3 linked regions of the Cricetulus griseus genome follow. The protein of the gene in region 1 purifies or fractionates together with the protein of each later gene. This does not show direct contact. Links are inferred from orthologs where the notes say so. Each region holds a gene or a part of one and is shown in the gene's direction. Other genes may lie near its edges. The genes, in order: Atxn2, Lsm12 and Pabpc4.

The links.
Region 2: the proteins of Atxn2 (region 1) and Lsm12 purify together in Homo sapiens (affinity purification with mass spectrometry; 4 studies listed by BioGRID and IntAct, with this or other methods). This does not show direct contact. The link is inferred for Cricetulus griseus from reciprocal best matches to the Homo sapiens genes ATXN2 and LSM12.
Region 3: the proteins of Atxn2 (region 1) and Pabpc4 purify together in Homo sapiens (affinity purification with mass spectrometry; 4 studies listed by BioGRID and IntAct, with this or other methods). This does not show direct contact. The link is inferred for Cricetulus griseus from reciprocal best matches to the Homo sapiens genes ATXN2 and PABPC4.

What each region holds. Positions count from the first base shown.
Region 1 is NC_048597.1:101,659,051-101,666,371, forward strand, and holds the end of Atxn2 (ataxin-2), read left to right. Parts: intron 1-717; coding exon 718-863; intron 864-1,583; coding exon 1,584-1,811; intron 1,812-3,531; coding exon 3,532-3,700; intron 3,701-4,511; coding exon 4,512-4,540; coding exon of another isoform or gene 4,541-4,619; 3' UTR 4,620-4,934; downstream 4,935-7,321. UniProt on the Homo sapiens protein: Involved in EGFR trafficking, acting as negative regulator of endocytic EGFR internalization at the plasma membrane.
Region 2 is NC_048600.1:115,913,021-115,920,916, forward strand, and holds the start of Lsm12 (protein LSM12 homolog), read left to right. Parts: upstream 1-3,374; 5' UTR 3,375-3,458; coding exon 3,459-3,582; intron 3,583-5,496; coding exon 5,497-5,630; intron 5,631-7,896. UniProt on the Homo sapiens protein: Nicotinic acid adenine dinucleotide phosphate (NAADP) binding protein. Confers NAADP sensitivity to the two pore channel complex (TPCs) by acting as TPC accessory protein necessary for NAADP-evoked Ca(2+) release.
Region 3 is NC_048595.1:29,709,778-29,717,098, reverse strand, and holds part of Pabpc4 (polyadenylate-binding protein 4), read left to right. Parts: intron 1-2,150; coding exon 2,151-2,344; intron 2,345-4,324; coding exon 4,325-4,440; intron 4,441-5,550; coding exon 5,551-5,690; intron 5,691-6,010; coding exon 6,011-6,105; intron 6,106-6,603; exon of another isoform or gene 6,604-6,736; intron 6,737-6,982; coding exon 6,983-7,120; intron 7,121-7,321.

The sequences.
Region 1 (7,321 bases):
TCACGGGAATAGTGAGTGAGGCCTTCCCAGGTTTTTCATGTTCAGCCTGCTGTTGTGAAGGCACAGGTTTGCCTAATACTTCATCTTGTTTGGTACCAAGGTGGGGCCCATACTAGATGGATAAAAACCTGCCCCTGGGTCTTTTGTCTTTGTGATCACATTTTAATAGGGTCATCATGTTTCCTTTGTTATTCTAGTGAACAGGATGGGGTGGGCAGTTTCATCTCCAGGCTTAATTAGGAGCTCCTCAGTAGGAATCAGGAGTGGAATGGATGCTGTGACTGACATGGCAATGACCTTGTCCTTGCCCCTAGCTTCACTAATGTGGGCACTGAGACTGTAGGACAGTAGCATGGTGAGTGTAGCCAAATGATGGCCTTGAGAGAGAGAGAGGCTGTACCTGTCTTCATGTGAGCCAGAGTGATTTTTGGAGTTGTTTCTGCCCTCCAAAAGAAATAGGATTATTTTGAGTAAACTCAAATTAACTCAATGTTGATGTAATGTGCAGAGCTGTAACATGTGAGTTAATGCTGACCTTGTTAAGCAGAGCCCTTATGTCTATTTTCCAGTCTGCCTGATGTAAATGGATGCAGAGAATGCCAGTGGCATGGGTTAGATTGTAGTGGTTGTGAAAGCATTCAGTGAAGCTTTGGGATTGGGCTGGGATTGGTCATCAGCATGTATCAATTGTATACATTCCTTTTCCTTTTGCCTTAGTTTCCACGGGCTCCCTTGCTCAGCAGTATGCACATCCTAATGCCACCCTGCATCCACATACGCCCCATCCTCAGCCTTCGGCCACTCCCACTGGACAGCAACAAAGCCAGCATGGTGGAAATCATCCTGCACCCAGTCCTGTTCAGGTAAGAAGAGCCGTGGCCTGTGCATGCACAGCTGCTTCCTTGTCCCTGCTACTTACACGTCTCTGTGTGATCAGGACATATGAGACAGCCATCCTTATGTAGCTGCAGGTAGTTGTGGGTTCAGGGGAGGGCTTGAAAATGTCAAGTAAGCCGTACCCTCGGGGTAAATGCCGGAAACATGAGTGTGGAAAAGCTACTTTAGACTTAACAAAGAACTTTAAGCTAAAGTACTGTCTGGAATTTCATTCCTGAAGCCACTCAATAATGCTGCTTTCCTATTGGCTGCTGCTTTTTTTTTCCCCCAAGATGGTTTCTCTGTGTAATAGTCCTGAGTGTCTTGGAACTCATTTTGTAGACCACACTGGCCTCAAACTCACAGAGATCTGCCTCTGCCTCTGCCTCCCAAGTGCTGGGATTAAAGGCTTGGCCACCACTGCCCAGCTGCCTGTTGGCTTCTTTAGTCATATTAGCTAGTGGGGCAGTTGACAGCCTGACATCTTGTCGGTTGTTCCACCTCTGCTTGTTTGTACCTGTAACTGCCAGGCTGAGACTTGGGCTTGAGAACCCAGAAAAGACCATCTGGACAAGAGATGCCCATGATGCTCTTCTCCCTGCATCTCCTGGGCATGGCTAGAGTTGGGTGGGGCTTCTGCTGCCTTCAGTGTGTGAAGCTCTGACCCTAATGACTTCTCAGTAAAGAAGTTTCCCATTGCTTTGCAGCACCATCAACATCAAGCCGCCCAAGCTCTTCATCTGGCCAGTCCACAGCAGCAGTCAGCCATTTACCACGCGGGGCTGGCACCAACCCCACCTTCCATGACACCTGCTTCCAATACACAGTCTCCACAGAGCAGTTTCCCAGCAGCACAACAGACGGTCTTCACCATCCACCCTTCTCATGTTCAGCCGGCATATACCACCCCTCCCCACATGGCCCACGTACCTCAGGTAAACCAGCACTAGCCAAGTTTCTGTGAAGGCCACGTAGGGTGTGGTGGTTGTCAGATAAGCAGCAAGGAGCCAGATGCTCCCCAAGCCAGGAAACCCTATGTGTGGTGCCATCTGCCTGTCTCCCCCTCCCTGCTTAGTATGTGATCTTCTGGCCCTCAGTGAATGTTGCTATGATTTTGTGATGGGATCAGTGAAATTGTGACTTAGCAATTCCCAGCTGAGACCTTAAAACTCTGAGTCTGGAATGCACCCCAGTCCTTTCCTTTCTGTGTCTGCTTTGCTCCGTCTTTCTAGCTTAACCACTATGTGTCTATGTGTCCACACACAGACACCTCTACACATGCACACATGGGAGCCCGGAAGGGATGGCAGGCAGGCTTTCAATGGTTCTCAGCTCTCTGAGGTGACTGCACTAGGCCTGTTAGCTTGAATGTTAGACACACGAATTCCGGGACGGGTCTCAGTTGTTTGCCTGGTTACCCTCTATCTGCTGCAATCCTGTGTTGTGCTTCCTGAGCGCTTGGCCTTGGACTATGGTGCAGTGTAACTGAAGCTCCAGGGCAGCCCAGGGCCAGGGGAGGCCTCCATGGCTCTTAGTGTGAGGTGGCTGCATCAGGTGTCTCTGCTACTTTGATTGTAGCTGCCTGAGGCGGGTCTCACTTAGGTTTACTGAATGACTCCATTTCCTGTCACAGTGCGCCAGTGAGGCTCTGGCAAGGTGTGAGCTAGGGATGCTGTGCAGTTGGGTCTCTTGCAGAAGGCTAGTTTGTTACTAGGTGTTCTTTCCCCAGAGCTAAGGGTCTGTAGTATATACTCCTGTTGATTGGCTGGTGACAGTTGGGAGGGGAGCCAGTTTGGTCAGTGTGCTTTGGTGGAGTGAAACTTAAGAGAGCCAGGGTCCTGTAAGTGTCTAGCAGAGGCTGCGAATTTACTTTAAGATGGGCTATCCCCAAACCTCAATTGTGTGTTTGTGTAGAAGGGTAAGAGGCTTAACATAGGGAAAACAGAGAACCATGGGCCTGTTTGAAGGTGTGAACCAGCACTTCGCTGGGGTGATGGTCTAGAGCAATGCACACGATGGGAGGCAGGAAGCAGCCTCTTCCTGCTCTGCCCACTCCCTGCAGAGCTGAGGTCGAGCTCACCAACCGGTCAACCAACATCACTTTTCTAAGTTAGACTTGTTGCCACTTGGTACAGGACACCAGGCTGACCCAACTTCAGATCATTCTCATCTCATTGGAGCCATTAACTGCACCCTTTGCTCCATCAGCCAAGCTATTACATTGAGGGGCCTAAGTGCTGCTTCATTGTTTCTGGGGAACCCATCACGACTTGGGGAGGGCGGAAGAGGAGAGACTCAGGAAGCTGCTATGGGTGCTGGGGAGGTAGTCTCCTCACAGGCCCTTCCTTGTCAGTTGCTTTCTGACTTGAAAAGGGCATTGATGTATTTGGCTCCATGCCATAGCAAGTTAAGTATGTGCCCCTCCCGCCCCAATAGAGGCCTGCTCTTGGTGAAGACCTTGCCCTGTGTGATAATCTGTGAGCAGGCACTGGGGACTAGGAAGATGTGGCCAACTTTCCCATCCCAACCCTACAGGATCTGCCTCAAGGAGTCCATCTTGCCCCTTCTTGAGTCCCAGTCCAATGAAAGGAACAGTTGACTTGTTGTTTAAGACGGAGATGTTGCCTGTATGCGTAAAAGAGCTCTCTGTTTCAGGCTCATGTACAGTCAGGAATGGTTCCTTCTCATCCAACTGCCCATGCGCCAATGATGCTAATGACGACACAGCCACCCGGCGGTCCCCAGGCCGCCCTCGCTCAAAGTGCACTACAGCCCATTCCAGTCTCGACAACAGCGCATTTCCCCTATATGACGCACCCTTCAGGTGAGGCGTGTGTGTGCAGGGGCCGCCGGGGCACCCCGAGCATTCTGCTCGCACAGGTAGAATGGCAGGCAGGACCAGTGAGTGTTTCAGGCTCCAAACCTGACTAATAAGGCCCGTCCAAGTGTTTGCAGGAGGGATTGTGATGGTCAGGGAGCATCAGGGCTCAGGGCCTCTGGAGCTGAGTCTGTGTGTGTTCTGCTGGTATCAGGGTTGGCTTGAGAAGCAGCAGCCTCATTCTGGGTAGCTGATGCATGCCGAGGACTCAGTTGGCCTTCCTGGTTATGTATGACAGGCTGGACAGGGCAAGCGTGTTCCTTCCTGAGTCCCTATAGGCTGATGTGGGGGGTTTATACCCATGGCCGACTTTGATTGTAGCTTGGAGAACACTGATGAGCTGTGTGCGGACTGGATTGAGTGTAGTTTTAGCCCCAGCCTGTGCCCTGACACAGGACACCCATGATGTCTCGTACTGGATGGCTGCTGTGGCAATACCTGTCTCCCCTGTGACTTGGAAAGTATTGGTGCTTGGCTAGCATTAGTGGGAGGGGGTTTGAAGGCCTGTGCTCCTGCCCCACAAGCAGCAAGTCCAGGACTTGTATCTGAAGTGGTTTCACGTCTGACTGGTTTGTTTCTCCTCACCCCCTTCCCTCCCCAACCCCACCTTGGCTGCAGCTGGGGGGAGAGGGGCGCTAGCATTAAACCTCCAGTGTTACTCAGCAGGAGAGTAGATGACAGTCATGTGCTGCAGACACTAGGTTGGTGGGCAGTGGTGCCTGTGTTCTGTTTAAATAGCCACTTTTCTTTTTTACAGTACAAGCCCACCACCAACAGCAGTTGTAAGGCTGCCCTGGAGGAACCGAAAGGCCAAATTCCCTCCTCCCTTCTACTGCTTCTACCAACTGGAAGCACAGAAAACTAGAAGTTCATTTATTTTGTTTTTTAAAAAAATACACTGATTTAACATCCGATAGGAATGCTAACAGTTCACTTGCAGTGGAGGATGTTTTGGACCGAGTAGAGGCATGTAGGGACTTGTGGCTGTTCCATAATTCCATGTGCTGTTGCAGGGTCCCGCAAGTACCCAGCTCTGCTTGCTGAAACTGGAAGTTATTTATTTTTTAATGGCCCTTGAGAGTCATGAACGCATCAGCTAGCAAAAGAAGTAACAAGAGTGATTCTTGCTGCTATTACCGCTTTAAAAAAAAAAAAAAAATCAAGACTTGGAACGCCCTTTTACTAAACTTGACAGAAGTTCAGTAAATTCTTACCGCCAAACTGACGGATTATTATTTATAAATCAAGTTTGATGAGGCAATCACTGTCTACAGTGGTTCAACTTTTAAGTTAAGGGAAAACTTTTACTTTGTAGATAATATAAAATAAAAACTAAAAAAAAAATTAAAAAATAAAAAAAGTTTTAAAAACTGATACCCAGTTAGTGTGTGTTTGTGGCGACTCCTGCTGCTGTGGGGTGCAGACCCTGGACAGGCAGGCTAGGTGTACTGTTCCAGGCTCCTATTGGATGAGGTGCTAATCAGTGACTTCTTTTTCACCTTCATCTGGCTCAAGATATCTAGAAAAAGTCAAGACTGAGAAACCCTCTTGGGTGAATTAGTGGAAGGCTGGCCAGAGGTGGGGGGACCATCAAAAGTCTGTATCTATACTTCTTTTTTCCTATCTCCAGACTTAACCAAACCACTATTGATCCACAGTTCAGGCCTGTATTACCAGCAGGGGGCAGGAGAGTTATAACTTCTTTACCAGTCTGGAGGTGTGTCCTTGGTAGCTGAGTGCTTGCTAATAGCACAGAGCGCTGGTTCTATCCCTAGGGGAGCTGGGAAGGGATTCAGAGAACAGGAAAGCCAGAAGAACAGAACTGTCTGCTATAGGGGAAAGGTAAGTGGAGAGGGGGTTGGTGTTGCAGAGATCATGGTCGTTAATTCTGAAAACCTTTTTAATTCACATATAGCAATTTGTACACTGTAGCAAAATCTGCATTATTCAAGAATAAGTTACTCATACAGTACATAAAACAAAGATTTGCCAAATACCTTCTGCCTGTAATGATAGAAGATGAAATCCCTTCTTCCTGTTGTCACAATGCTTATTCCAGCCTTACACACTGGCTGTTAGATGCATCTCCATTAGGAGGCAGTAGATGACAAGTGACTTGATGTTTGCACTAAGGTAACATTTGAACAAGAGCCCTCAGGGAAGAGATGAGCCTCCTTTTAGGTTAAGAAACTTCTGAAAAATAGTGTTATCTGGCCCAAAATTGTTAATGGTCACTATTCCTTTTTCCTAGGGTTCAGAAATGATCAAAGGCAGAAGGAAGAGTTCTATCAGATAAAGCCATATGGACTGCTGGTCTAAAGTCAAGGCAGGTTAGCTGACTCGATTCTTTGGTGCTGGTGGCTGTTAGTGTATAGTTGTAGTCAGAAGGAAGCAATGGTGCAGGGAGTCTCTATAGGGCCAACTCACACTGTGCCTAGTGTGGCCTCACCTGCCAGTGGTGGTCTGTCAGGAATACTGGGGGTGGGAATGGTGCCTGCCTGGTAATGACACTGGTGAAGGCATCTTGCCTGGACCTCATTAAGCCACCTATTCCCCTTCAGCCAATTGGACCTACTGTAGCAGAAAGAAAAGGTGATAGCTTAGTGCCACTCTATTCCAGAGCCATGAGAAGACTGTCATAAAATACACCTTTTGAAAGGAAGCTTCTCCAACCATGGTGCGGCAGAGGTGCTGGTTTACAGTGTGTGGCCAGTCTCCCCTCTACTGAGAGATGTTTGTCTGATGAACCCAGGAGAAATGAATGCCCCTAGTTTGTATAGACAGAGATACAATCGTCCAATCAGCCCCTTTCCAGGACTACATAGCTTAGAGGAGTCTGGACCAGTGGCTGAATATTGCTTTTATCTTTGGCTCATACTTTTTATGGAAAATGAAGGAAAGCTAGTTCTCTTAAAGATGGAACACAAATCTGCACCTATGTGGGATGTGCCTTGCTCTGTGAACACAATGGTGTGTTGCAAGATTAAGCACAGTTGGCTGCTCTTCCCACCCCCATCCACTAAGGGCCACACAAGCTTGCACAGTAGAGGGTAACCAGGTGAGAAGGGTATCAGCATATCTGCCTCTGAATTAAATTGTGACTTCCTACTGCCACAGCTGTGAACCCAAAGTCTGTATGACCCGCACCTTTGAGCTCAGGAGCAGCCACTTTCTAGCCCCTGTGAGCTGTGTCACCTGGAAAAGGCCAGACCAGTATAGACCCTATTAGTTGTATGTACAGGAACATACCCTTCCACCCTGCTGCCACCTTGGACAGAACACTTACTTTGAGCTGTTGCAGGAATTTCATGGTGCCAACTTCCTTTTGGATCAAAACGGAGCCATACTCAATAAGTCATTAATTCTTGGTGGGGGGCAAGCTATAAATTTGGGTTCACTACACAGGCCCAGGCACCTTTGCATTTGTGCTTGTCTTTCCCCGACCTGTCTATCACATCCTCTATATAAAGCTGCTGTAAACCAGAGTCCTGTTTTTTTATGCATAAGGCACTGGGGATAGAATGCCCCTTGCCACCCTCCTCTCTCTGCAAGCTGCCTGGATTTCCC
Region 2 (7,896 bases), on another chromosome or scaffold:
AGCGACCACTACCCACTTCTTAAGAAGTCTTTGAAATTCTGCTCTGGCTCCAACCTCCACCTTCACAACTTCACCAATCTTCATTTGCACCCTGATTTACAGTTATTTATTTTGAGTTGCTAAGGATCCAAGCCAAGGCCTGGCACAGAAAAGTCAAGTCTTCAACAACTAAACTATACCCTCAAGCCATGCTTTACGGTTTTTAAAGATTTTTATTAATTTCATTATTATTGTTTGGATATGTGTGGAGGATAAAGAGTTGGTTCTTTTCTTCCACTAAGACCTTCCCACCCACCATGAGGATGCTGGGAATTGAACTTGGGTCTCTGGAAGATTTAAATTGTGGGTCCTGGAGAGATGGCTCAGCTGTTCAGAGCACTTGCTGTTCTTGCTGAGGTCCCAGGTTCATTTCCCAGCACCCTCGTGTGGTTCATAACTATCTGTGACTCCACAGGGTATCTGATACCATCATCTGACCTCCACAGGGCACACATACATATATGCAGGCAAAATACTTACTCATAAAAATAAAATAAATAGTGCAGGCTAGTGGCCCATGCCTTTAATCCCAGGCAGAGGCAGGTAGATCTCTGAGAGTTGGAGGCCATCCTGGTCTACAAAGCTAGTTCCAGGACAGCCAAGGCTTGGTTACGCAGAGAAAACTTGTCTCCAAAAACCAAAATAAGTAAATAAATAAAATAAATAAACTCAATAAACATTTTAAAAATGATTTAAATTGTGTGCAGTTCTGGGTAGTGTCATGGAATCTGGATCTATCTTTCTCCATCCAGCCTGGGATGTGTACTATCCCTTTGTCTAAAATCTGTGCTATATATGCTATTTAACCCATTAGTCAATTAGACATCTTGATAGTGAGATCAACTCTTGGAATTGCAGTACTTGTGTTCAAGTAATTCTTATTTTACTTAATGATGACCCAATGAGTGATGTGGTGATTCAGAAATGTCATAGAGAAGTTTCCTTTAAGTGAGTGGTGAAAGTCCTGAAAGATATTTGAAACAGAGAGACCACACTCATGAAACTTTTATTATGATATACTGTTAACATTATTCTATTTTAATTAGAAAATGTTAAGCTCTGGCGTTGGTGGCACACGCCTTTAATCCCAGCTCTAGGGAGGCAGAGGCAGGCGGATCTCTGTGAGTTCAAGGTCAGCCTGGTCTCCAGATCGAGTGCCTGGATAGGCTCCAAAGCTACACAGAGAAACCCTGTTACAAAAACAAACAAAAAAACAAAAAAACCAACAACAAAAAACAAACCTGGAATTCATTAGCCGGGCGTTGGTGGCACACGCCTTTAATCCCAGCACTCGGGAGGCAGAGGCAGGCGGATCTCTGTGAGTTCGAGACCAGCCTGGTCTGCAAAATCTAGTTCCAGGACAGCTTCCAAAGCCACAGAGAAATTTCCCTGCCTCAAAAAAACCAAAAAAAGAAAAAGAAAAAAAAAAAAGAAAAAGAAAAAAGAAAGAAAATGTTAAGCCCTTACTGGGCCTAACAAACTTGAACTTGTTATCGTATGAATGGAAAACAATGTTCTATGTAGATATTCCTTCTTTCAGAGTTTGAAGCGTACAGTGGAGGAAAGCAGAAGACTAATTACAATGTCATACAAAGCAGAGTCAGGACTGAGGATGTAGCTTAGTGGTGGTACAAGGCCCTGGGTTTAACCCCAACACTCCCTCCTCCTCCCCTGGAGAAGTGGAGTTTCGGATGACTTGTTATGGAGCCAGAGCAGAAAGACACAACACTCCCCTGAGAAAGGCATAAGCATGGGGGAGAACTTTTATTCCTATTATAATGATTGTACCAATGCCTCCAACACAAGGAAGTTTTTGCCTGTTGGAGCACAAGGAAACACTTGAACTTTGTTCAGGCTCACCAGTAGTGCCAAATCTGGCCCTCGGCCTCCCTCTAAAGTAGAGAAAGGTCAACCTGTTTCTCACATTTTTATATGATGGGTTGGGTGGATGAAGGATTGCAGTTGGTGGTGAGAATTTTAAAAGTGCATGTGCAGCTGGGCGTTGGTGTCACACGCCTTTAATCCCAGCAACTCTGGAGGCAGAGGCAGCCGGATCTCTCTGAGTTCAAGGCCAGCCTGGTCTACAAATCGGAGTTCCAGGACAGGCTACAGAGAAACCCTGTCTAGAAAAATACAAAACAAAACCAACAAACAAAAAAAAGAGCATGTGTATGGCCTAGTCTACAGAGTGAGTTCCAGGACAGCCAGAGCTGCTACACAAGAAACCTTGTCTTGAAAAACAAAAAAACAAAGCAAACAAAAAAGTACATCCAGGCTGTCCCTTCCATAAGGTCAGTGAAGTATTGTATATAAGATGGATATTGTTGGGGGGCAGGGGCAGGTCCTTTCAAAACGCTTTGTCATTATAACTGTTGCTTGTTCTGAACTTTCCCTCTGTCCTTTTTATTTTTCCTGGTTTTTAGTGGTGCTGACTGAGACTTGAACCCAAGACCTTGAGAATGGGTATATGCTATATGACTGAGCTACATTCCAGAGCTGCTGCTCCTTTTTTACCTGGCTTTCTGGGACAGAGGGCAAGCAGGGAGACAGGAATGCTCTGTGTTCCAAATATGACAGGTGACCATGGGGTAACTTACTTATTTAGATCCTGTATGTCATGCATATATGCATTATCTCACTTAAGCCTCCTAGCTGCCTTATGAGGCAAGTGTTGCTATCTATTATATATAGACCAGTAGTCAAGAGCATCTTTGTTAGATTCAAAACCATGGCTTTGCCAGTTGTATGACTATTACAAGTTTAAGACTTCATTTCTTCACCTGTAAAATAAGGATATTGATTTCCGCCTTGCAGGGCTGCTGGAAGCTCAATAAGTTGTATTTAGATCTTACTGAAGAAACACAGACAGGTTTGATAGTTTAGGGTCAGAATATTTCATAAATGGCCTTAGATTCTAGTTTGCCTAACTTTACAGCTGTTTTTTGCATAATTACTTTGTAATTAGTTATAATTTTGAATGAGTCTTGTCAAGTCCTCTGAGCTTCTAGTTCTTCGTATGCAAGTGAGGACAATATTTTATTGAGTTCATTCATTAAACGTTTTTGTGCAAGGTGTGGGCTTAGCAGAGACTCCAGCTGCCTCCCTTTTTTCCTTTTCGTTCCTTTCGTAGAGGTTATTTATCCTCTACGTCTATTTATCTTCTTCCTGACTTTCAAAAGAACCCTGCAAGCACCTAACCAAGCAGCCAGGCGGCCACACAAACATTTTCACGGTATTCTCAACACTGCCCTTTATTTCCTGTTCCCTCTTCCACCTAGGCTCCCGCCCCACCCAGCACCAGACCACGCCCCGGCGCGTGACGTCAGCACGCCCCGTGCGTCGCGGCGCGGCGCTTGCTGGGGGCCCGGCTTTCGCCCGCTGCTGCCGCCGCCGCCGCCGCCCGCGGCTGCTCTCCCAAGATGGCGGCTCCTCCGGGCGAGTATTTCAGCGTTGGGAGCCAGGTGTCGTGCCGGACGTGCCAGGAGCAGCGGCTGCAGGGCGAGGTGGTGGCCTTCGACTACCAGTCCAAAATGCTGGCTCTGAGTATCCTTCCCTGCGTGGACCCCCCAGGGCCGGGCCGGCGTGTAGGTGCGGTGGTGGGGGGCGGGGGACGGCGGCGGCAGCTAGGGCCCTCTCCCGGCCTAGGGGCGACCGGCTACCGCGTCGCCCCGGGCGCATGCGCACGGCCCCGAGCTCCCCTCCCCCTCCCGCGGGCCTTTCGGTCCACTTGGGGGACCCTTGTCTCCCACCGCTTGTGAGAGCCGGGCCCCAGTCGAGGGTTGGTGGGTGGAGCGGGGCTTGACACGCGGGGTGGCTCTTGGGGAGGGAACGGTGTGGGCAGGGGTCTCAGTGATTGAAGGAGGAGGGGGTCTTGGTGGGGACGGGGGCTGCCGATTGGAGCCCGGATGAAGTGGGGAGCGGTAAAATGCTACGGGGAGGGGTGTGTAGGGTCAGGGACTGCTGGTAGGGCAAGGGTCTGGACTTCAGGAGTGGGCTGTCTGCTGATGAGATTGGGTTCAAGAAAGGGCGGTGGGATGGTGACCAAATGGCCCTTGCCAGTTTGCGGGTAGGAAGTGCAGGACAGAATTTCGTATTCTGTGCTGGTGGCTGATTCTGCTAGAGTCGTGTATGCTTGGTGTCATTGTGTGTGTGTGTGTGGGGGGGGGGATGTGTGTGTGGTGATTTTGAGGTTCTCAGTCATTTGAAAATTGCTGTTTAGGGGGTGTTGGAATTGGAAGCCTGGTCCAGGGAGGACTTGCCCCGTTTTTCAGGGGTTTATGTATGTCAGTGTTCAGTTCGATACATAGCAAAATGTCCTCCTTTTTTAAAGTACCAATGTGACACTGCATGGAAGAGGTGGCCCTGCTCCCTTGGGGTGGAAATGATTTCTGAATTACTCCAGCAAACTCACTGTTGGAAAACAAAACACTTCCTGGTTGGAATAAATGTAGCACTACTTCCCCCTTTATTTGAGCTACAGGTGGGCTTACTTGAATTATTTATTTATTTATTTTTAGGCGAAGGTAGCCTCTGTCTTTAAAATGAAGTTTCTTTTGTTTATTTTTCTTTCAAGACAGGGTTTCTCTGTGTAGCTTTGGAGCCTGTCCTGGAGCTCACTGTAGACCAGGCTGGCCTTGAACTCACAGAGATCCGCCTACCTCTGCCTTGTGAGTGCTGGGATTAAAGGTGTGTGCCACCACTACTCGGTTTAAAGTGAAGTTTCTTGGGAAGTCTGCTGCCTTTTAATTAGTCATGAGTTGTCAATTGCTAGCTCAGATAGATTTTTTCATAAACTAATTACAAGAGCAGTCCCTTTATCTTGTGTTATTTTAAAAACAAGAGATCATAGTTGGCCTAAAACCTCTTTCTTTAGTGGCTTAGTTGGAAGAGTCTTAGAAAAAAGACTTAGTCTCCTTTTATCTGGCACACAGAAGGGTCTTAGTAAATGGTTGGAAAATGAATGGATGGATGAATGAACTAGGTGTCATTTTGGGTAGTTTCCTTCCCGATGGTGTAGTTTTTGCCTTTGAAAAATGGGAACATCACTAGTGGGGAAAAAGAAACTGAAAAAAGAAAGAACGTGAAATCTAAACAAGCAAGAAGCACCCTGTAGATACAGGAGACATTTGAATGTTAACCCCAAACCTGAAAGCACAGACTCCTCTCTGGCTCCTAAGTTCAACACAAACTGTGCACATGGCGTTAAAGCTGCATTTCTCTCCATTAAACCCATGGAGAGAAGTGACAGAAACCTTTTTGAGACTTTCAGTTTCTGCCTGTTTATGGCTTTGAAAAGCTTGAGATCTTCTGGTTATGTCTTTGGGCAGAAGCAAGGTAATGGGGGAAGAGAGTAAGCACTTAATGGGGCTTGCTTGTCTTTTCTATAAGCTTGTATTTCTTTCTATACTCATGAGATGTGCCTTTGTCCTATTTTCCTTAACTTTATTTTCTCACCAGAATGTCCCTCTTCCAGTGGAAAGCCCAACCACGCAGACATCTTGCTTATAAACTTACAGTATGTTTCTGAAGTGGAAATAATTAATGATCGAACAGAAACCCCTCCTCCACTAGCATCACTTAATGTTAGTAAGGTAAGGTTTCAAGGGCAGTTCTAGCTGTCTAAAACACTGACTTTTTGTGATATATACATTGCTTATTCTGTTTTTTTTTTCTTGGGGAGGGGCAGGGACTGCTTGTTCTTTTTCCCATTTGAGGAGGTACTCATATATCCCATGCTAACTTTGAACTTAATATATAGCCAAGGACGGCTTTGAACTTCAGATTTTCCTGACTGTCTCCAGGACAGTGCTGGGATTATAATAGGCATGTGCTACCACAAATGGTTTCTGTGATGTGGGGATCAAACACAGGCCCTCCTGCCTGCTAGGCAAGCACTCTGCCAGCTGAGCGCCTTCCCCGGCCTTTCTTTGGTGGCTTATATGAGACAGGGTTTCACGTAGCCTAGGCTGGCCTTGAACTTGTTCTGTATACTTTGTGATAATGACTTTAAACTCAGATCTTCCTGACTACACCTCTTAAGTGTTAAAATTGCCTGGCTTGTTATCTTTTCTAAAGTATATTTGTATAATTTGTTCCCTTTATTTCTGAATATCTTTGTTGCACCTTAAGAAATAACTTTGGGTCTCTAAGTTTGGGAGGCCAGCCTGGTTTACAGAGTGAGTTCCAGGACAGAGTCCAAAGCTACACAGAGAAGCTACCTCAAAAAACAAATAAATAAAGAAATAAAAAACAAATAAAAAAGAAAGGAAAAAGAAATACCTTTAACTTGGGTGGTGCATGCCTGCAATCTCAGTACTTGGGAGGTAGACACAGGAGGTTCAGAAGTTGAAGGTCCCCAGGTGTTGATGGCGAGCACCTTTAATTCCAGCACTCGGGAGGCAGAGGCAGGCAGAGCTCTGTGAGTTTGAGGCCAGCCTGGAATATATGAGACCTGTCACAAAGGGAAAAAAGTACACATGACTTGAAAGTTGAGCATGGTTGTAGTCCCTGCATGCAGGATGCAGAGGCAAGAGGATTGCTGTAAATTCAAGGCCAGTCTGGTCTACATAGGAAATTCTAGATTGGAACAGTATACAAATAATAATTATTTATTTATTGACTTGTTTATTATTTTGAGACACGGCTCACTATGTATGTATCCCTGGTTGGTTTGGAGCTTGCCCATATAGACCATTCTGGCCCTGTACCCATGGAGATCCACCTGCCTCTGCCTCTCTCAAGGGTTTGGATTAAAGGCCTATGCCATTATGCCCAACCTATTCTCTGTGTATGTCAATGTGTATGCTGTATGTGTTCAAGTGCCTGAAGAGGCCAGAAGAGGGCATTGTATCCATGGAGCTGGAGTGACAGGCAGCTGTGAGCCATCTGATAGGGATGCTCGGATCCTCTGGAACAGCATCAAATGCTCGTAACCACTAAAGCATCTCACCTAGCCCCTTCCTAGCTTAATCTTAATACTCAAGTAGGGTTGAGAGCTTGTGTTTGCCCTTCATAAAGAGGACTGTGAATAGAGGTTGACATGGGATTTCTTCCTGTTTCACTTTTAGTTTTATTTTTTGAGACCTGGTCTAATTGAACCTGGCACTCACTGATTCAGCCAGACTGGTTGGCCAGAGAACTCCAGAGTTCTGTTTGTCTCTCCTCCCCAAAGCAGATAGTCTAAAGCCAGCCTTTTATTTGGGTCCTAGGAATTGAACTCGTGGCCTCCTGTTTGTGTGGCAAGCACTTCAACTGATCCATCTCCCAACCCTCTTTCCCAATAACCACCCCCCCTTTTTTTCCTTCTTTTTTGGGGGGGTAGTTTCAAGACAGGGTTTCTGTATGTAATAATACAGCCTTGGCTGTCTTGGGAACTCACTCTGTAGACCAGGCTGGCCTCTGCTCAGATCCACCTGCCTCTGCCTCCTGAGTGCTGGGATTAAAAGCATGTGCCACTGCTGCCTGGCCCTCACCCCTTTTTTAAACCTAGAGTCCATGCGGTTTATAAGGGGTGTTGCCCACTGACCTGGAGTTATGTGATGTGGATAGTGCATAATGGGTGAAGATTTAGGAGTGCTTCATACTTTTAAGAGAAGAGATTCATAGGTGGGCGGTGGTGGTGCATGCCTTAATCCCAGCACTTGGGAGCCAGAGGCTGTCTGATCTCTGGTGATGTATTGTTTATTATCTAATAAAACTTTCCTGAAGGTCAGAGAAGCAAAGCTAGCCATATCCATAGAGAGGTCAGGCAGTGGTGGCACACACTTTTAATCTGAGGACTCAGGAGACAGAGGTAGATGGATCTCTGAGTTCAAGGCCACCCAGGGCTACATGAGAGTGAAGCATTTGAAAAGAGAA
Region 3 (7,321 bases), on another chromosome or scaffold:
GTTGTGTCTCTTAGAGATAGCAGAAGCCATTGGTCAGTATGTGTGCCAACACATACCACTGTAGGACTTCTCCCGGCTATAAATAAGCGCAGCCCGATTTGTCGGCTTACCAGCTCCACTGGTGTTGTCTGAAATAGATCAGGAATTGTGTTGGGATGGGCTCCTTAACTGCTAATATCATGGGATAGTTTTAAGTTTGCAGACTTAGGGGCAAGCTTCTACTTGACTTTCACTGATCTGACTTGGCTGATTGATTTCTTTGCAATGCTAAAGAGACCCAGGGTCTTGGCTGTATTGGGCAGTTGCCCCACTACTAGGCTTACTGCTAGTCCTTGTCCTTCTTTGAAGTCAGAAGGGTAAGGTGAGAAATAGGCTTGCCTGCTTTTTTTGTTGTTTTTGAGACAGGGTCTCTATGTAACTTTGGAGCCTATCCTGGTGTTCACTCTGTAGACCAGGCTGGCCTCGAACTTCACAGAGATCTGCCCGCCTCTGCCTCCCAAGTGCTGGGATTAAAGGCGTGCACCACCAACGCCTGGCCAACTCGCTTTTTTTTTTTTTTTTTTTGTTTTTGAGAACAGGGTCTCTGTGATCCTGGCTGTCCTAGAACACACTACTTAATGTAGACCAGGCTGGCCTTTGTTGTGCAGCACACATATCTGCTCACCCCAGATAAGGGCCCATGACAGATCAAAGTATGGATACCAGTGAAGCCCACCACAAACCAGTGAGTTTTATTGTGGTTACTTACAGAAATGTGCCTGAGACAGCTACATTGCCTGAGCCCACCCCAGTGTGTGATAGCTCACAAAGCTGGGAACCTGGAGCAAGCACACTGCATAGACTTCAGGCAGCTCAACAGGCTGTAGAGTGTCCCTTTCAGGCTGTCTAACCCTCTTCCAGGCTGCTTGGCTGGTTTCTGCTTTTTCTAGGTGGCTGATCTACTGTAACAGTTTTTATGGCTTTTCTCTTGAGCATCTTGGCAGCTCAGCATTTTTTTGGAGGGGTGGGGCAGGGAGTGCCCTAGTGAATCTGATCAGTTTCAGGGACTTCCTGAAGCTATTTTTGAATTGTTTATTTACCTTCCTGCTTAAGGAGCTTTTTCTCAGGATGGAATGTTTTCATTTGGGGGGAAATTTACACAGAACTGCTGGGATTAAGAGCTCTGCATCCAGCCGCCTACTTTGACTTTTTGTTTTGTTTTTTGTTTTTTAAGATAGGTTTATTTATTTATTGTGTATACAGTGTTCTGTCTGCATGTAACCCTGCAGTCCAGAAGTGGGCATCAGACTACATTACAGATGATTGGAAGCCACCATGTGGTTGCTGGGAATTGAACTCGGGACCTCTGGAAGAACGGGCAGCGCTCTTAACCCCTGAGCCATCTCTCCAGCCCCGACTTTTTTTGTTTTTTGATAGGACTGGGGAATCTCATGTAGCCCAGGCTGAACTCCAACGAGTGATCTTCCTGTGCTGAGGTTTATCTTTGGTCCTTCACTGTGCCTCTGTGGTACCTGGTGGGTGTGGTTGGGCAGCTCCCTGACCTACCAGAAGGAAAGACAGCTGAATTCCTAGGGTTCCGAGAATTCTGATTAAACCTTTGAAAGGTCTGGGCACCACAAGGCCTCAGGGCCTGTCTGTACTGTCTGTGCCCTCAGATAAAGGTGTGCCGGTTTACCCTGCCACAGCAATGCTGAGCACACTTCCATTTAGTTAAGAGACTTTTTGTACAAAAAATGTGTGGTGGCACATTCTCTTAATCCCACAACTTAGGCAGTGGCTGGTGGCTCTCTGAGTTTGATGGTCTGTAAGTGGGTTCCAGGACAGCCAGAGCTAGAGACCCTGCCTCAAGAAGAAAACATAAAAAATTGTACTTGAGTCTCTAGTTAAGTTTCTATTTACTAATGAACCACCTGGCTTAGTTGCCCTGAACATGACTATTTTGACTCCTCACCTGTGTCAAGGTGGTCATTGGTGGGTATAAAGTCCCTTGAACATGAGCTTAGTCCATGGTGAGGACCTTGGTGCCCAGAGCCACTTTGGTACCTTTTCTTTTTCTTAGGTAGTAACGGTTCAGTGATCTTTCTGGAATGGTGACAGTCATCTTAGTTGATGTTTAGCATTCTTAATTAAAATATGTTCCTCTTCTACAGCTGAGAGAGCCTTGGACACCATGAACTTCGATGTGATTAAGGGAAAGCCAATCCGGATCATGTGGTCTCAGAGGGATCCCTCTTTGAGAAAGTCTGGTGTAGGGAATGTCTTCATCAAGAACCTGGATAAATCTATAGACAACAAGGCACTTTATGATACTTTTTCAGCCTTTGGAAACATCCTGTCCTGTAAGGTAAACGTTAATTATTTTAACTAAATAATTACTGCATCTTGAAAATGAGATAAATATTAAAGCTGGGTGTGGTATACTCTCAAGACTGTGATAGGAGCTATCTTGGGAGTTCAAGGCCAGTTTGGGGTTTAGAAAGACTCAAAACAAGGTACTATCAAAGGGAAGGTACCTTGGACAATTGGGTATGATAATTTCTTAAATGCTGGAAATGGAATGTCTCCCTCCTTTAGTCCTGGGGTTTGAGCTTGGGGCCTCATGCATGTAAGGCATGTGTTCTACCACTGACGTGTTTTTTATTAGCACATGTTAGTGACAGGTAATGTTTTCATTGTGAAATTTTTATGCCTATACGTAATACTCTTGATGGGTATATCCCCATTGCTTTCTCTTAGCTTGCTCCCATAGTCCTATCCCTAGTTCTTAACAAACCTACTGCTGTTCTCTGTGTGAGTGGGGGGGGGCGCGTGCGCAACCCAGTGCATTTCATTACAGTTGCTCACAACTCCCCCATCTCTGTATAAAGCCTCTGGGGTCCAGCAAGCTTTATCCCCAGCCCTCTTTTTTTTTTTTTTTTTTTTGAGATCTCACCAGGTTGCCTAGTCTGGCCTTGAGCTTTTGATTGTCATGAGTCTCCACATCCTGAATAGCTGTTATGAGAGGTCTTCCATTAGGCAAATGCTCATCCACCAAGCTGGCTCCCGCTCTGGGAATAGGGGCTTCAATAAAGGACTTGTAGATAATCCCAGCCACAGCCTCATGTAACCTGGAAATTTTTTGTTTTGAGATGGGGATACATATAGCTCAGCTTGGCTTTTGAACTTCTGGTTGTCATGTTTCTAGCTCCCAGATGCTAAGATGACAAATGTGTGCTCGGGACTTGGCATTCTGGGCTAGCACTCTGTCAGATGAGCTCTAGTGCCTTGCAGGTGCTTTTGTGTCTTTATTCTTCATGAGCACTCATACACATACCACTTTGTTACCTACTTTTAGAAGCTTGGATAAGGGAGAGGAGAGGACATAAGCCCGTTGTTTCCAGAAACCCTTACTTAAATCTTAGAGGCATTAGTTAACTGTATTCTGTAACCTTCACATGGTGACTTAAATTCTTTTGTAGGCTTGGGATACAGTTTGTCTTTCTGAGCACTTTGGTTTGTACCCAGATCTCCTGGGTTTGTTTTTCCCCCATTTTGTTGGCTGATAGTTGAACCCAGGGCCTGGCCAATGTTGTTCAGGTGCTCTGCTGCTGAGCCAGTCTCTAGCCTTCCCTATCTTCTCTCTGAGTTAAATTTTATTTATTTATAAACAAATTGTATCACGGTGTGGGTGTGCTCATGGAGGTCAGAGGATGGTTAACAAGAGTCAGTTTGCTCCACCTTGTGGATCCCAGGGAATGAACTTGGGGCTGTAGTTTTGGTGGTAAGCACCTTTACCCAGTGAAACCACATAAACACACATACACTTTCTTTTCTGAGGCTGGATCTCATAATCTAGGCTGGGCTCCAAAATATCACATGTACTGTGGATGACCTTGAACCTCATCTGAGCTGTGGCCTATCCCCACGTGCTGGGATTACAAGCATGTCACCACACTCTGCCAGATCTAGAAAAAAAAAGTGAATTTGAAAAAAGCCTGGGCTCAGCAGGAAACTCATTTGGTAAAGTACTGGCTATACAAGAAGGGATCTGAGTTTGTCCACATAAAAAGTGGACGTGGGGGCATGCTTGTATAATACCAGTACTGGGGAGGCTGACACAGAATTCCTGGGGCTTGCATGTCAGCCAGCCTGACCCAATCAGGAGTTCCAGACTGATGGGAGACCCTGTATCCTAAAAGAACCAGCTGGGTTGACCTACCCCCCACAAACATGATTGATTTGGGTTAGGCACAGGCTAACCATTTGTAAGTGGAGCTGTGCAATGTTAGCTCCCGGCTGGTGCGACAGGCAGTGATGCTCAGGTGGTCTGCCTTTTCTTCAACAGGTGGTTTGTGATGAGAATGGCTCTAAGGGTTATGCCTTTGTCCACTTCGAGACCCAAGAGGCTGCTGACAAGGCCATCGAGAAGATGAATGGCATGCTCCTCAATGACCGCAAAGTGTGAGTGTCCCAGTCTGGAGGACAGCCATCGCATGAGCCAGCCATGGCCCCACCTCGGTATTAACTGGCACACACAAGGCGGCTGCTGGTTCTCTCGGCCCAAGTGTGGCCTGCTCCTACCTCTCCACTCCAGGGCTGGTGAGTCTCCCTGCCCGAGCCATGGCAGCCCTTTTGACTCGCCACAGTCGGCTCCCTGCCCGAGCCATGGCCTGCCTGCTGCCTCTCCCTTGGAGGAAATTCACCTGTGGGTTTTGTGAGCATCAGCAACCGGGGCTGGGACAGCTCTGAGCCCACTCTGAGCAGGGGTCTTGGCCAGCGGCAGAGTGGAGAGGCCCTGGGCTGACCAGGAGCTGGATACTAGCTATGTGACCTTGGCTTTCCTTTGACTCAGGTCTGCCCGTGGGTCTTTTGCTAGTTTTTGGCACCAAATTAGTTCTTCTTCCTCTGAGCTGCAATTCTGTTTCACTGTATGCTTAGTTTGCATACAGTGAAAAACCATCCCTTTGCAGAGACACTGTATAACATCTTGTCATTACTGTGGGGTGGGGACAGAACTTAGCTGAACCTTGTGGGGGAAATCGAAAGTAGTGTTACATAAGGGCTATTACAAGCAACAATTACTTCTGTCCTTTGTGGTATGGAATGTACAAGGCTGTGTTTATGTCTGTGTGTGGGGTGTGGAGATATTTTCCTGTCAGGGGAACACAACGGGAAAGCAAGGGTTACCTCCAATCGCAGGACTCTCACTGCTAGACTAACCACTGTTAACAGTTTGGTTTGTATCCTTCCAGACATTTTCTATGCATTTACATAGATGCACAGAAATGAACGTTTTAAAAACATGGTCGTCAGGTTTCTTCACGAAGGCAGTGTGATGTGGTAGGAGTGGCCCTGGTCTGAACCAGGAGCCCTGGGACTGGTCCTTGCAGGATAGTCCTGCCTCTTTCTTTTTCTGCTGGGGACTTGGGGCATCTGAGCTTGTTCTCATGGTGGATGGGGTCCTCATGTCTTAACCTCTCCTGTCAGCCTTTAACCTGCATTCCTTTGGGCCCCTGGAAATGATGTTTGTTCCTTCTGAGTAACTAATCACTGTTCACGGTTTCTTTGTAGGTTTGTGGGCAGATTCAAGTCTCGCAAAGAGCGGGAAGCTGAGCTCGGGGCCAAGGCCAAGGAATTCACCAATGTTTATATCAAAAACTTTGGGGAGGAAGTGGATGATGATAATCTGAAAGAGCTATTCAGCCAGTTTGGTAAGTTGAGGTCTGTAGTGTCATCTTGTACTGACCATCAGCTCAAGAAATAACCTGTTTTTTACTTAAAGAAACAGGACACTTAGCGTCAGAGGGTGAATGAATAGTCCAGGCCTTTTTTTTTTTTTTTTTTTTTTTTTCTCTTGGCTCTATCTTAGCTCCGTCTGTTGAGGTTATCCTAGATGCTTGGTTGAGTTTTACCTCTTCCTGCCTCAGACCTATCTGGGCTCAGCCAGAGATTCCTTCAGCTGAGTTACTAACAAGAAGTCTTGGGATGTGGTAGAGATGGTGTCACTAATAGTTCTGTCCTTTGGTAATAGGTAAAACTTTAAGTGTCAAGGTGATGAGAGATCCCAGTGGGAAATCCAAAGGCTTTGGCTTTGTAAGTTACGAAAAACACGAGGATGCAAATAAGGTGAGTGTACTGTGAGTGTCGGGAAGAACCTGTAGGCGGTACCTAGTTCACGGTAGAGCCCAGTGAGTGGCTGCGTAGTGGTCCATGTCATCAGCACAGATGCAGTCCAGTCCACAGTTACATCACCCAGCATTTGCTCATACCTGTCACCTCCTACTGTTGAAAGATTGGGACAGGTACCCATTCTTGGGTAGGGAAATTGAAGCCTCCAAAGTTGAACTTCTGCCTGCAAAGGGGCCTGAAAAGCCCCTTTGCTAGATCAGGGCATCTGCCCATACAAATGCACGGGCGCAGGAGGGGGGCATGCATCTTCTCTCCCTCTTTTTGCCCTCTGCACTCAAATCCTTTTTTGGTTTTTCGAGACAGGGTTTCTCTGTGGCTTTGGAGGCTGTCCTGGAACTAGCTCTTGTAGTTCAGGCTGATCTCAAACTCACAGCGATTCGCCTGTCTGCCTCCCGAGTGCTGGGATTAAAGGCGTGTGCCACCAATGCCCGGCCTGCACTCAAATCTTTCCCAGTCCTGCTGCTTGGTGCCGGTCTGGGGACAGACGGTGCTACAGTAGAGCAGAGAATATCCAGACGGGTCGTTGCCCATTTGTCCTGGGGCCTGTCCCTACAGCTCTGCCACACTTCCTCCAGGGCAAGGAGGTGAGGGTGTTTGGAAGGTGTTAGAGCTAGGGTTGGGAATTAAGAACAAGAGGTGTGGCTAGGGTTAGAAAGCGGGTAGCTAACCCCGCTTTCCAGATCAGTGTAGCAGGCTTCAGGTGGGATGACACAAATTCTCGGTCCAGTGGGATAGGTTTTTCTGGGTGTCCTGGACTCTGCTCCAGAAGACCATGTCTCTGAACCTGCATTAAAGACATACATTTTCTCTCTAGGCTGTGGAAGAAATGAATGGAAAAGAAATGAGTGGGAAAGCAATATTCGTAGGCCGTGCACAGAAAAAAGTAGAGCGCCAGGCTGAATTAAAACGGAAATTTGAGCAGCTGAAGCAGGAGCGAATTAGTCGTTACCAGGTGAGCTGGCTGCTTTCAAAGAGTGCTTGCCTCCGGTGTAAGGTCATGACCTATCAGGTGTGGCATTCACTGCTGAGCAGGTACAATGATCCCAGCCTCTGTTCCAAAAGTGTCCACTTACTGCTCTTGACTCTGTGGCTTCATTTTTCTTAAACTGGTCCCCCTTTGGGGTAGTAGCTAAAAAGAAGAACCCTGGAGGAT